2 linked regions of the Lytechinus pictus genome follow. The protein of the gene in region 2 interacts with the protein of the main gene of each other region in a pairwise test. Links are inferred from orthologs where the notes say so. Each region holds a gene or a part of one and is shown on either strand. Other genes may lie near its edges. The genes, in order: small ribosomal subunit protein uS10-like and serine/threonine-protein kinase 4-like.

Region 1 (7,824 bases), on a different chromosome or scaffold from region 2:
TACATTTTTTGTTATTGTTCTTTTCTGTGTTTGTCAAATTTCAGAAGCAGGGGACATGTTTGGAAGATGCTTTGCTTACAAGTCAACAAATTATACTTCTGTGACCATCCCCCCCCCAAAAAAAAACCGGCCTTTGCCCCTTCCTAAACCAAAACCCTAATAAGGACATATGAAAGAGGTATGTGGGAAAGGATACAATCTGCTTGACGATCTCCGAGGGGCTCTCCAGGTCGATGAGACGCTTGTGGATGCGCATCTGGTAGCGATCCCAGGTCTTGGACCCTTCTCCACAGGGCGTCTTCCTGGTGGTGATGCGGAGGGTCTTGGTGGGCATACGGACGGGTCCTTTCACCTTCAGGTTCTTGTCCTGGGCACCACGCTTGAGATCGGCGCACACCTTCTCCAGGCTCTTGACGTTGCGGCTGGTAAGGGTGATGCGGATACGATGGGCTGGGACATCCTCAACGGGTCCCTTCATTGGATCCTTGCTGTAAGCCTGTGGCAAGAGTTGATTGTGATCATTTTACTTCAGTATATTGCATATATATATTTCCTTAAATTAAACCACACCCAACCCCCAAGAAAAAAATGTTCCCAAAACTACATAAGTTAGATACGGGGCTGTGGAAAAACTGTAAAAATTTCCATCGGATTGTGATTTCTGCATGGTCAACTACATACCCCCCCCCCCCCTCCAAAAAAAAAAAAATTCCGAACTGCTTCGTGTCCTCTTTTATGTGTTTCTATATGAAGTTTAGACACACAAGTCTGCCAGTGTGAGTCCATCACAAACGTTATCTCAAATGGTGACTGATAGTCTGATACCACATTGCACACAATGCTTGAACATTCAGCCAGGCCATGCATAGCAGGGGGGGGGGGGGCAGTTGCCCCTCAAAAATATTGGAAACCTAGAACTAGTCTAGGCCCTAAATTTTTTTACTAAAAATTTTCATAAATTTCACCATAACTAATTAACGTAGATCTGCACAAAATCCTTTAATTTCACTTTCGAAAATGCAAAAGCGCCCCAACAAGAAGATTGGTCGCTTCGCTCCCTCACTTTCGAGACTTTAGTTTCGTTGTCTTCGAAAATTTTAGGAGTCTTGCCACCCCCCCCAAAAAAAAATCTGCATATGGCCATGTATTCAGCTCTACTCTGGTGTTATCCGGGGGGGGGGGGGGGGATTTCCATTGACAAGAGGATACCATGCGTGACCATGGGGTTTCGAAAAAGCATCCTAAAGTATTTTCCATGTTCTGAAAATGCACCCCTCAACAATTATTGGCGTGGGTAACCCTACTCTTTAACAAGTACCGGTATTGGAAAGAAAACGTTACCATTGACAAATATTCCCTGAATTGACCACCTTAACAAGTACAATATTTTATTGTACTAATGCATGTCATGTCATGGACATGATCATGGACGTCGGCTTTACCTTTACTTTAATTTGGTTTAGTACCACCCCACACACCTCTCTCAAATCGGACCCTAAATACGTAGTGTTGGGGCAAAAAGTAAAAAAGGAGTGGTCCAAGTCTTTCACTATTCTTGCAAATTGGACCGCAAACAGAAACAAATAGTTTTCCTAGATCTAGATTTACCCTTTTTTCATTTTAGTATTTTTGACACCCATCAGTAGAGGTGCATGGCCAATAATAAAAAATATGTGAGGCTGTCTCCCATGAGATTATCTCCAATATCAAAGACTTTTGTAAAAAATTAGGGTATCCAATTTCAGAGTCTCCAGTTTGGGAGACCAATTTCCTTTGTTTACATTTGCTGCAAAAGAATTAGCTTGGCGGAAAATAAAAATGTGATAAGCAGATTCCTCATGAAAAATTACCCCTTTACAGTCTACTTTAAAAATTCACCGTCTACTTTTGTTTTTGCCAAGGATTTTTTTGTCATCCACACACAAACAAATGGGCTTTTCACCTCAATGACAAAATTTTTGGTGGAAAAAATTACACTTTTGAGTTTTGTTGGTGTTTTTTGCAAAGCAAGTCTCCAATACGGGACTGGGAGATCGCATTGTCTCCCATATTGCCCATGCACCTCTAGACTCTACTGATTATTACGTACTTTACATGCACCATCTTAAAAAAAGATCCTTTTTACGTGTTTAACATTAATAGCATGAACATGGTATCCACTCGTCAAACGATGGAAATGCCCCCCCCCCCCCTCCCCGGCTGCTACTAAAACAAAAGTGTAAATTCCTCATTTTGATCTCAAAGTCAAACTCACACAGCACAGACATCGAGACATGTGTGTGCCAAACACCTGAACATGATCAATTCCATCACACAGTGGGGACATTGACACACTCATCTGCTCATCATCATGATCATTAACCCGGCCCAGGGAGCTCCGGCCCGCGAGCCCAGGCAGGAGTCGACCATGCAAAACGAGGAGACATGGGACTGGCCCTAGGCTTGGTCTTGATATAGGCCTAGTATTAATAATCTTATTCTTAATAAAATGTGGAAACAGAAATTATGGCGCACTAACAATTATATGGATGGTCTATCGTCACACACAAATCCCGACATCGAGGCACAGACTGGAACCTATAAAAAAAAATATATAGCCTCGTTCTCGATCGGCCATTTTGTTTTTAATTTTGAAAGAAAGAGAGCCGAGAGGTATCATCACGACAGAACAAGTTTTCGTTTTTTTGACTGAGCCTGAGGTTCCACTCAGTCTGTGCCTCGATGTCAGGATTTGAGTGTCACGATAGACCTTCATCCATATAGGCTAATCGTGGTAAGTGCATAATTTCTGTTTCCACATTTTATTAAGATTACTATTGAGACCCCAATCTACCCCATTGTCTCCATGCATCGTTTTGCACGGTCGACTCCTGGCAAGCGGGCCGGAGCTCCCTGCGCCTGCCTGGCTGGGTTACATGACATGAAACTCGCTCACGACGGTCGACGACGTCGCACACGGCGCGGCACGCACGTCAACAAATTTTAACAATAAAATATCTAATTTTCCTGTATTCTATGAATTATTCTTAGTTTCCTATCATTTCTACAATGTTCATACCATGTTTTTATGTATGCTAGCAGACTTAATCAATTCTGAATTTGACAGGAATTGAACAGAGGTGAGCTAGCCACTTTATGTCGGTGTTCAGTCAACGAGCGCCGAGCTAAAGAGAGTGCAGTACATGAGTTAACATGTGAGCATCATTCAGTGGGCACATTGTTCACACGAACGAGAAAAACTGTGTGTGGTCGCGGTTGCTACGCTATGTGAATGGGTGTCACTCGTTTTGATAAATAAACTCAGCAGTGGAAACAATATTCGGCTAAATCATTACGTTTATTTATTCGGAGGTTAAACAAAGACTCATATTACATTTAAAAAAGACTTTTTAATTTAAAAAAACCTATTTATTTTGTAAATTATATATATTAATTATTTAAAGGATACATTAAAAAGACAATTTTCCTTTAATATACTTAAAAAAAACTTTTATTGTAAAAGCCTAAAATATTCAATTCATTACCCGTCTTAACAACCAGCAGGTAACTCAGTCAATCTATATTCGTACCCCTGTACCGATGCAGACATTTATGCATTCGAGGCCTTAGTATATACGAATGATGCGAGCGCGAGCTGAAAAAATGTGATATTTTAAACTAAAAGTTTGACATTCTAAGCAGTAAGCACTATTGGAAATCATGAACACGATTGGTATTTAACAACAACAAAAAAGTGGAAAGGCCTGGTAAAAATTTATTGCGAATTTGGGTTTTGTTCCAAAAGGAGCTAAATCCAAAACAGCTTTGTTAATCCGAAAGGAGCCTAATCCACTAGGGCCTATACGGTTATTTACAATTTGTTATTTTTCCTATAATACATTCAATTTCTTAGGTGCATGTTGTCGATACAAGTCCACACCATCAGTGCAAATTTGATGAAAAAATAACAATTTTTATGAATATTTTTGGACTTGACTCCTTTTGGAATTAGATATCGAAAAGTCACCTTCCTAGTAGAATTAGATGACAGAATAACATTTTGTTGTTGTTGTAATTTTCAGTGGATAAACATCAGAAAAAGATGTGGAATGTACTTTGTTAGCCATATTTATGTGTTTCATGTTCAATTTCCAATATCAAACATGTTTAAATTGGCAAAAATTAACATTTTACAAAGTTTTTGTTCCAAATTAAGAAGCTATATCCGTGAAATATAAGATTTCAAAAATTCTTAAAAAATTGATAATTAACAATTTATTTTTTGAAATCATGATTTAATCAATCTAAGATGATAGTAACAGCAGTGGCTAAGGGAAAGTGGTGAATTAAAAAAAACTTGATTTACAGAAAAACCTCAAAAGTGGATCTAGCTCCTTTTGGAACAATATGAAATATGGGGACTTTTGACGGCGTTACAAATAAAAAATCAATTCTATTCAATTCAACAATAAAAACATAATACTTAATAAGGGAATGGGAAAAACAAACAAACAAAAAAGTTCCAGACAAAGTATACACAACAAAGGAAAAATCTGATAATAAATAATAATTAAAAAAAAAATTATTTTAAAAGTGTAGCAATATATTGTGAAAACAGTTATATGCACGTCGTCATGAATATTCATTATAGGTCGGCCAATGATGTCACATCCGCTTTCCTTTTTCTTATGTATAGTTTGAAATCATAATGATTTCATATTTTCATACAATCATTTATCACTAAGTCCCCAGTATGATAAAATAAGTTGCAGCGATGAACTGAATGTTTCATATACTAGTACAATCCTTTTTTATTAAGTTTTTTAATTTTGGCATTTTGGAGGACTAATTTTGAATCAACACTAATTTCATGTAATAAAGTACAAAAAAAAACAAGTGGGGATATAAACGTCATATAGTTTGCTCATCAAATTTATTCGTAAATAATTGTTTAGAACAAATTACTGTTTACTGGTATATAATTTCGTTATTCATTGTCCCGATCAAATGTTTAGTGTTGGATTTGTCTTATTTTTTTTATCCGTTCTAATGTGTGTGTGTGTGTGTGGGGGGGGGGGCTTCAACCCCACACACTTTTTCCAAAACCGTGTACAAAAATGCCGACCATATGATTGTGATTTTTTTGCATTGTCAGCCCCCCCCCCCCCACGCTTAATTTGAAAACCGTTCCGTGGCCCCGCCGCGGCCCCTGCATTTCTACCGCCAATACACTTCTAAAACGAACTTATAGGGCCTATGAGAACAAGTCCTGCATGTGTCTTATCGGCAAACTGTATTAAAGAGGAGCCCGAGTTTTATAAATCTGACTTACAACTGAACAAAATGGACAGACATAAGCCGAATGATACACTAATAAAAATACATTTCTGGTGGGCCTATTGTAGGCCTACACAGTAAAAACGCTGTTTAAGATTTTATACAACGCTGTTTACTATATCCATGAACCTTACAGTAGTTGTTTAACAGTTTAAACAATCATGTTTAATTTATTGAAGATTAGATATTGAAAATTAAACTTTGTTGTTTAAGATTTAAACACTTGTTTAAACTGTTTAAACAATTACTGTAAGGTTCATATAGTAAACAGCGTTGTATAAAAAATTTAAACAGCGTTTTTTCTGTGTATATAGTAAGTTGAATATTTCAAAGTGAGCAGCTGCACCCTGTATGAGTATTGTGTGTTAACTTTTGATCTTCGGGCTAGCTAGTGCTCCAGCTATTACAATGAACTATTTTATTTTGTTTTGTGACCAGTTTCTTTAGGTAATCAAGACTTAAAATTATAAAGTTATTAACAATTAGGCCTATGAGAACTTTTTTAATCTTAAAAGGATTTTCTCATGAAATTTTCGCTCTTTTCACAACAAACTTTTTGCTATAGCGGTGCCGCGGATCCTATTTGCCCCCCCCCCACTCGGTCTGCTGCTGACTATGAATAGGCCTATTGTTAGTAGCTTTTGCAACATGCCTATATTGAAAAATTTCATTGTTTCATTGGATTATAAGCTCATTTATTTTTTTTTCTCATAAGTTTTGTTTTTTGTGGGCGGGTCATTTGGGCTGGCCTGGTGGGACTTAACAGTATCATCGAGTCGACACAGTCACGAGCGAGTGTCGAGTTTAGTAAGGGTGAGTTAGGCATGTGTAGGCACGTTTTGAATCGTCTATATCCGTAGGCCTTCCACGTATGCAAACACTCAGCGACATATACGACCCAAATTCGAACGCGATCTTGTGCCGAAACTTCGGGGGAGCTAGCTAGCTAGAACTGCCCGGATCGGAAGCCTTGGCTCATTCACCGTTTCTGCCGGTACTCGGTAACGTAACTCAGTCTCAGTTGTCGGGAGTACATCTCGATTTTAATTTTTATAAGTGATAAGACAAGTGCTGTGAACCGAGGACAGGTCCAGCTTAGTCCAGTTTTCGCCATTAAATTGCAAGTTGAGAAAACCGAAATAAACGGTAAGAAAAGTAATTTTAAGTAATTTAAACCATGATTTTTAAATATTCCATGAGGATTGAGACCATGTCACACATTATCGGCGCCGCGCCGCGGTCAGGCCGTGTGTACCGTACTCACTCGATCCGTCACTGCACTGCGCTGGACTGCGGTAGAAATAAAGTTAGTGACGTGTTCGTGAAGCTGTGTCTTTTCAATAGTCTTGGTTGACAATCGACAGATATGTTTTACTCACGTTGGCAAAAGCCAATCATGTCAACGGTTACCGAGTCACAAAGGTGGGATGGAAATCATGTTTATCGTAAAAAAAAATTAAAGGAAAAAAAATATAACGAGAAAGATGAATAACTTAATAAATAGGGGGCCTAGGCCTAATAGTAATAGATTTAGTACTGTCTTAACTTACTGATTACTCTAAAAAAGTTACACCCGTATTTCACTCCGTCTCCGTTTCCATCCTCCGGTTATCCTCAAAATTGGTGATTTTGGGCCAGTGTCTTATTCCTCACAGGTATTTATTCACGGCTGATTCCAAAACATCGCATGCGATCGCGATCGGTCGCAGGTCAAACCGACGGATCGCGATCGCGTGCGATGTTTTGAAATCGGCCGTGAATAATACGTGTGAGGAAAAAGATACTGGACCCAAATCACCAATTTTGAGGATAACCGGAGGATGGAAACGGAGTGAAATACGGGTGTAGAGTAAGGTATTAAGTTATTCATCTTTCTCGTTATATTTTTTTCTTTAATTTTTTTTTTTTACGATACACATGATTTCCATCCCACCTTTGTGACTCGGTATATCCGAACTGTTTCACCGTCTCGAAGTTTGGGTAGGTGGAGTGTAGTGTACCGGTAGTGAAGTGGAGTGGAGCCTGCACGAACTTCGCTCGAGTTAGTCAACGGTTGGAGCCTAAAAAGCCAAAGCCAAAGGGAGAGATAAAAAATTGAGTTTCTTTCATCAAAGTCAAACATGTCATTCAAATTCGACTATTGTCTATTGACATGGACATGACACTGTCACTGTGAACAGTGAAGTACTACTCAGTTATTAGTACTACTACTAACGTTATTAGTCAGACAGCTGGCAGCCTAGCCGCCGTCTGTTTTGAGTTTAAAAAAAAAACAATTTAAGATTTTTTTTTATTTCTCCTTGTACACAGAGGGCTCGCGATCGTGCAGCCGCCATTAACAATGCAAGATCCCCCCCGACGGCCAACGGGGCTCATCGATTTTTGTTTTTATTTCATATTTTTTATCATAAAAATGTAATAGAGTCCAGTGCAGTCTAGGCCTAGAGTCAATAGAACTGGACCAAAATACAGATTATTATTCCATTTCGGCCTGAAATGCACCAAAAT
Region 2 (8,137 bases):
TTGCAGAGAAAATTAAATTATGAATAATTCCTTTCATGACTAAAAAATCACTTGTGGACGTTGAGATTGGGTACCCCCGGGATATCCAATTTTAATAGTTTACGAAAGTAAACCATAACGGTTTTCTTTGTAAAATGATGATAATTATGCGGTCTTTTACGATTCCGAACGTCATCAAAATACAGTTCAACGAAACATTTTTAACCATTGATACCGAAACATACGATATTTGACAAATTATATGCATAAATTAGAGATAGAATTTATCCAACTGTTAATAGGGGTCTGAAAACACCAAATACGAGTTCAGTTATGGATGGCCTGACGTGGTAGAATATTTATCGATTAAATCATTTTACTATTTCAAAATGAATGGTTTTGTGGCGTTTTACCAATAGTTTTTATAGTTTCTTTGTATTATAATTATCATTGATTGCATTAACATAGTGCTGCAAGTCAGGCGCCATGTTCGGGTTCGGCAAGGTTCGGCAGAAATTTGCCGAACATTGGTTCGGTTCGGGGTTCGGTAATGATAGACTGATATAAAGCTATAGTTCATTCAGGTATACGTAGCGTACCGGTAGACAATTTGTACTTGATTGACTGCATGTGCTCGCGTGTACCTCTGTCACATCAAACCATTTTATCTCTATCTTGTTGACATGAAACTATGAAAGTTATAGCGCTCAACGAATTGTTATCTCGAATTTGATTATCTGATGACAGATTTATTGGGTAACTCACAGTTCTAAAATGGCGACTCTTCCTAGTCGTCCATACCTGGACCACACTTTGGATACTTGCCAAATTAACTACGCTCGTACTCGTACCAGCTAGCTAGGCCAGAATGTGCAGTCCCCTTGTAGCGGGACTCTGAGCTCATGAATATTTATATATACAGTCCGGCCAAACGTGATTGGCAATTGCATCACATACGAGGCGGCCAGCGCCAGTGCACTGAACTGTAGGCATAGTAGGGCCAGGGGCGTGTCGAAGAAAGCGTGCTTATGTAATGCGCCTTTCGCTAATTGGCTCGATGGGTGAACTAAACCACCAATCGCATGTCGCTGATTGTCGCATCGGTACATACAGCCCAGTCAGTCCGCAAGCCCCTGTGTTAATGAGCAAATGAGCAAGATTTATCCAAGTCCTCTCGTGGCTGAATTCATGTCCCTGCAAAATCTCGTGAATTGTGAGACTTTCTTTTTCAAGGAATTTAACCACTTTTTCCTTGAGTAATATTGATTATTTTTGTACCATGGGCAAGAGTAAATGTTACCCTTTTATATTGGTCATTTCTTTTGAATGAAATATTTTGATAAATAAGTGAATTTTTTACCTGAAAAGATGCATCAAACAGAATTTTCTTCCTCTGTTTTCACTTGCAAATTGTGCAACATTTTGTGTTTTAGGCACCAACATTATTTATATCGTCAGAAAGCTCAAACTCTATACTTTCTTACAATGTCACTCTTGATATGTGGCATCTTTTAGATGGGTCAGCAGCCAGTTATTTCCATCAAGATGCAAGACGAGATTTCTGAAATTTCTGAGTAACATAAAATCCAGAGTTCTGATTGGCTGAATACTGTTTTCAAAACAAACAGGCGCGGGTAATTTGAAGAGATTACCACATGGTGAGTGTGACCTTGCAGAGGCCCAGTGTGGGGAACATTGGAATTTGCGTGGGTGTGTGGTCTGTATGACCAATCAGAGCGCAGTATTCTTGTTTTTGAGCTGCAAAATGTACTTGGCCTATGAAAAGCTGGCTGCTGACCCATCTAAAATACATCTTCTTATAAAAATTATATCATATTAAAGCTTAGATCTTCAGCTTTATCATGATTTAAAAATCATTTGTGCCCAAACAGAAATTAAGTGTGAAAACAACTACTTTTGTTGCATGAAAAAAAATATTTTGTTTCATGTTTTAGATCAAAAGTTTTTCCTATATTACAACATTCTTTTAAAAATCCAAACACATGACCTAAAAGAATGATTCTTCTTCTTTACAAAGATACCAAAAACATGAAATTTGGTCAATATTTAGAGCAGCAATGGCCGAATAAAAAGAGGTGTTTTGGTTCGCACCAAGCTCATTAACTATGCAAAAACCCTCTTGTCATGAATATCACTTGGATAAAAGAAGCTACTTTTTCAGGGCTTGCGGACTGACAGAGCCACGTGCTTTGTCTGCTCGCGAAACTCAGCTCACTGATTGAAGAGCAATTCCCGAGATTTCTATGATTTCATTGGTCAGATTTCATTCGACCATGAACATACAGACCAAGTGGGATGCAAAGTTTTACGACTGTAATGGGACAGGGGGAGTAGAGTGATCATCGAATTGTTTATGGTTAATTTGAGAAGTTGATAAGAAAGGGAAAAAAAGTAAAGATTGGGGGTCATTTTCCCCCAAGAGATGAATGTTTCCGCATGGCTTTATCTTCATTCAACTTGTCAACGAGGGGAAGGGGATCTTGCTATATGCTATACCGTAATCATTCATGAGTGTTTGATTTTTATTTTCATCTGATTGTTAATAATAAAAAAGATAACTTCTCATTTCTATATTATTTGTTTTGCGTCTCTCCTTAACAGTCACTCACTTTATTTCCCACTTTCACTGGATCTCTCGTTTTCAAAACTCTTTACTTCTCCCTAAAATCATGAAAACTAGACAGTAGCGAGCCGACACCTCAATAATAATGTCAATCACCTCAATCAGATCTTTATTCTCCGCCGCAACAATACACGAGTTACGATCTTAATCACATCGTATCGTAATTCGTAATATTAATGGTACTTCATCTTTCACTTTCAGTTTATTGAGCTCGTTCATTCAAAATACTTTGAAGATTTTCAAACAAGAATCTTGTTCGCCACCTAAAAACAACAATATTTTAGATAATTAGATTTAACCAATTAACACTCATACAGTTTTGGTTTTCTTTACCATGCTTCGGCGATTCGGCCACAGAGCGAGAGATGATGAAAGCCAGTAAAATGATTATAGCGCAAGCTCGCGCAACGTCATTCATCGGATCTCCTTTCTTAATCAGGGCCGTAAAAACCACAATGTCAACATGAAAATGAAAACAAAGTCTAGTAACCGCAAAATGAGCGCATACTTCCAACATACAATTGCAAAGAAGATTAAATAGAGAATGCGCAAATATAATGATTAGAAAGGGTGTAAACTTATAAGTTTATTAGCTGAAAGCCGTTTTTTTTTTTTTTGCCGAACTTCCGAACCAAGTCTTAGTGTTCGGTTCGGTTCTGTTCGGTTCGGAAGTGCCATGTTCGGCGAACTACCGTTCGGTTCGGCTACAGCACTACATTAACCCACTTGTTTTGTGATGTAATTTCAACCTCTATGATTGATTACGTAAGATTATAATTTTAAAATTTCTATGCGCTTTTGCATGTCATAGTCTACCCACGTGATGCCACTACGTCATTAAGAAAGAAGTTATGACAATGACATGTTCGGAGCTGTCATAAATATTTAGTGAGGTTGTTGTACCCGATCTTGGTAAAGAGGGCTTCATGAAACGGTTAGCGGACAAGTAGCTCACTATCTCCGATTTAGTCAAGAAGTTAGACTTATGACGGTGTTGAGAAACGGGCCCCAGGTATTTAGTTATATTACTCATTAAATACGAGTTGTGTGCAGGTCTGTTCCTTTTTCTTTTATCAGAGGGTGAAAATGGACATGTTATTTGGCCAGGAGGCTCCTAGAGAGTAAAAATCATTTACTAACGTATGCTTAATCTCAACAGAGCCAGGGATTTCTTCCCATTCATCTGCACGTACCGCCAAAAAACCTGAAACTTTCGCCCCCAAGATTTCTACTTTCCTTCTAAAAGATCTAGCCCTAAATCATGTAGATGGGATACAACTTCATTTCCGACATTTCTACGATATTGATTTCATTTTTAACTAAGAATTCATTAAAAAAGCGAGAAAAATGCTTGGCGACAGCACGCAAATCGCGCAATTTATAAAGAACGTGTAGCTGTCTACCGCAACAAGGCTTGTCCCAGGAGTTGGGCCAAATTCGTGAGAAAATTGCCGAAATATCATTATCAACAAAAGAACTGGTGAGTACCGATTCAACATTATTAATTTGTTGAATATTTATAGTCTAGCCAGGCCCATCTATAAAGATTATCACAAATTTTTTGTGATATTCATGCTTAGGTCTCGGCTAGGGCGGCCCAAATTGAGTGGAGTCCCACTTATTCAACATAAAAGTAGGCGTCTAGCCTAGTGTTCCTTCCTTCGATTTATTTCTTTCCTTCCTTCCTTCTTTCTTTCTTTCATGACTTTGGTTTCTTTTTCTTTCTTCCTTCCTTCCTTCTTTCTTTCTTCATTAGTTCATTCCTTCCTTTCTTTCTTTCTTATTCTGATTCTTTCTTTCCTTCCTTCCTTCTTTCTTTCATGACTTTAGTTTCTTTCTTTCTTCATTCTTTCCTTTCTTCTTTCTTTCATGAATTAAGTTTCTTTTTCTTTTATTCATTCCTTTCCTTCTTCCTTCCTTTCTTTTTCTCTTTCTTAGAATTTGACACAACACAGATTATTAGCGAGTGGGACTACACAGACAAACATGAACGACTTTATTAAAGCGATTTTTTAGGCCTACCTTGTACCAGTGCCAACAATGTATGTATTGGTGCCTCGAAGAGTCATAGGTCCAGGGTTACATCCTAAAACTCGAATGATTCGAGCTGAAAGTCGTTCGATATTTGGAATTACGGTACTCATTTTGCCGCAGAAACTGAGATCTTTCTCTGTTCCTCTTGCGCTCTCTCTCCAGTTTCACGCATTTTCTCGGTGTAAAAATCTCGTTTTACAAAATACAACCACATTACTAGTGTAGGCGCCATACAGTAGAGATATCTGCGAAGATTTCCGGTTTGTTTTGTCTTGACTTGATTAAGCTGATAATCATACTGTTCTTTACATTGCAATCGCCGTTGATTACCAATCGATGTGAATTTGTCATGTTTTTCAGATCTGTCTCTGGACCACGGCAAAGATGACTTCAACAAGGTAAAATGATATTTATTGGAGCAAGGATCGGGTAATATGTGTGACGTGTTTTGTAGAAATGAACAAGATTTCATATACCGGTAGGTACCACACACAGATTTGTATATGTGGGCACAGGTTTCAAAAGTGGATTCGGCCTAGCTTAGAAACAACAACCACAACGACTAGATCTAGTCCACTCTTTTTAATTCTCACCAATAAATCATAAAATGTAATATCTTCAAATGAGAGAAAACATATTTAAATTAACAAAACAGCCATATTTGTTCGGTTAGACAACACTCAGTTGACGACATCGCGACATGGTTGATAATTGATTTTTATAAACGAATAGGGCCTATTCGTTTAGCGATTGATAATTGAAGCCATTTTTAAATTATTATTTTGATTGTTCATCATGTTCATGTATTTCAAGACTTTTATTTTAATTTTGTTTTCAATTTGCCTTAGAAAATGTTACGATACTTTGTATGAAAACTTTATAATATATGTAACTTGCATGTTTGTAAAATTGATTACAATTCTGCCTTTGGCTGCGATGATCTTTTATTAATAAACTATTTTATCGATCCTATCTATCTATAACAGTATCATTATCTCATGTCAAAAATCCTTCTCTCTTGTGTAGTATGTTGAAGAGACTAAGTGAAGATGCACTCACTAAGGAGCCTGAAGAGGTGTTTGATCTCCTAGAGAAATTGGGAGAAGGGTGAGTAAAGTGTCTTACTTTGGATCCTAGGGCCGATTGCCCAAAAGGGTCTTTGCAAGAATTGCCTCTCGCGTCGCCCATTTATTATGCGCCATGTGAAACGCATTTTAAATAAAATACCTGCAAACATATTTTATTTGTCGTTTAACAAAATCTTTCTTTATAAAATGATGTGATATCTCTTGAAATTGTATTAAAAAATGATTTAAAAGCTAGCTGAATTTTTTTTATTTGTTTATCTTAAATTTCAGGAACATCCTGCATATAGCTTATCATAAAAGATGGGTGACACGAAAGACAGTCCTTGGAAAGACCCTTTTGTGCAATCGGCCCCCATCTACTTCTAACAACGTGTTACAATTTAATTAAGCTTTATAAATGGAGCATTGCAAGAAAATGTTGAATAGAAAATTGTTTGATTAAAATGTTAAAGTAACAAAATATTAATGCTATTGATTTATTATTTTGAAATAAGACATATGTTTAACTACAACTTAATCGATGACTTGAATATGAAAAGCCAATGATGAGTTGTGTTCAAACATTTTTTATTGAACCAGAGATGAGTTTGGAGTAATAATCTTATTACCAATAAATATTGTCATTACAGAAACTACTGTTGGGTCTCTATTACTGGAAATAATGTCACTCTTTATATGATGAAACCCTACCAAAAAAAAACTCATCGACTTTATTTTTGTCATTTTATACTTGTTATATGTGTTGTGTAACTGTGGCAAACACGTTTCTCTATTAAAGCTAAGGCCCCAACCTAGTATAACACTCCTAAGGTCACTCTTCCCTTGTCTCCTATGATGTTCCAGTTGAAATCAAATCTCAAAAGGTCTCCTAAAATAAACAAATATAAATGAAGGAGGAAACACACAAAGTAACACAGATCTTTACAATTGATATCAATGACATCGTTGGCTGTACTTCAAAATCTCACCTGTGCCAATGCAACCAAATCATTGATTAATTCAATCAATTAGATGTAAGGAAATCATTGTGGTCAACCAAATACACTCTAACTGCTATTGATCAAGAACCAATGGAAGCATGGAAGGATGGTCATAACTCATGAGATAGTTCTGCATATTAATAAGTACTATACAATGTTAACATAAAAACTATACAATGGATAAACTAGGAAGCATGACCAAGGGGACATTGAATGAGAGAATGGAATGCAGTGAACCTGGTGAAATTCTGTTGCTATGTCAGGGATATAATGTATGTGGATCGTATTGATTCGATGAAGGATGAGGTCATTATATGGAATATTAATTAACAAATTAGATGTAAACATTGAAGTCTGGAAAGCAAAATGTTAAGGCAGGTAGTGAATAAATCCAGAAAATTTGACTTGCACTAGATGCCTATGAAAATGGCACCAAGGCTTGTGAATAGGGGATCAGCAACCATTTTCGTCACATGTAGATGACCTTCAATTCATTTTTAGGCCCCCAAAATAGATAATGATCAATAATCACTTCAGCAATTCGTTGCATATTGAAAAGTCGTAAAATAAGTTATTTTCTAATGTTTTTTTTTTCCTTTCCCAGTTCCTATGGAAGTGTATACAAGGCAATGCACAAGGAGTCTGGTCAGGTCTTGGCCATCAAGCAAGTACCGGTAGATACAGACCTACAAGAAATCATCAAAGAAATCTCAATCATGCAGCAATGTGACAGCACTTACGTTGTCAAGTACTATGGAAGCTACTTCAAGAACACAGACCTCTGGGTATTTATACAAAATTTCATCACATTTTATTCTTCTTTTTTTTCTACATTGTCTCAGACTTATAGACCCATATTCTGAACTTGGGTTTGATTTAAACACTGGACTGGTCTAAAGTTGTGGTTTGATTATTGAGAGCCATTTATGTCACATAAACCTTTTAATAAAGGAATGGTCCGGGCTGAAAATATATCTAAATAAATAGAGTAAAGTTCAAAGAGCAAAATGCTGAAAATTTTATCAAAATCGGATAATAAATAATGAAGATATTGAATTTTAAAGTTTATCAATATTTTGTGAAAACAGTTATATGCACATCATCATGAATATTCATTAGGGGGGCTGTTGATGTCACATCTTCACTTTCCTTTTTCATATGTTATTACATGAAATCATAAATGTTTCATTTTTCATACATGTATAAATGATGTGTCTCCATTATGATGAAAAAAGTTGCGACAATAGATAACTAATGCATTAAATCAGTTGTCAATCCAATTGTTTTAGTTCTTGGTAGAAAATTTTTGAATAAACCTAATTTCTTATAATAAAATACGAAAGAACAAGTTGGGATATGACATCATCAGCCCTATCTAATGAATATTCATAAAGACATGCCTAGAACTGTTT

Evidence for each region.
Region 1: the proteins of serine/threonine-protein kinase 4-like (region 2) and small ribosomal subunit protein uS10-like interact in a two-hybrid assay, tested with the Drosophila melanogaster proteins (2 studies listed by BioGRID). The link is inferred for Lytechinus pictus from reciprocal best matches to the Drosophila melanogaster genes hpo and RpS20.

What each region holds. Positions count from the first base shown.
Region 1 is NC_087261.1:19,003,825-19,011,648, forward strand, and holds the start of small ribosomal subunit protein uS10-like, read right to left. Parts: upstream 3,274-7,824; 5' UTR 3,062-3,273; coding exon 3,059-3,061; intron 497-3,058; coding exon 197-496; intron 1-196.
Region 2 is NC_087245.1:34,386,069-34,394,205, forward strand, and holds the start of serine/threonine-protein kinase 4-like, read left to right. Parts: upstream 1-4,889; 5' UTR 4,890-5,041; coding exon 5,042-5,055; intron 5,056-5,683; coding exon 5,684-5,764; intron 5,765-7,329; coding exon 7,330-7,510; intron 7,511-8,137. UniProt on the Drosophila melanogaster protein: Plays a key role in the Hippo/SWH (Sav/Wts/Hpo) signaling pathway, a signaling pathway that plays a pivotal role in organ size control and tumor suppression by restricting proliferation and promoting apoptosis.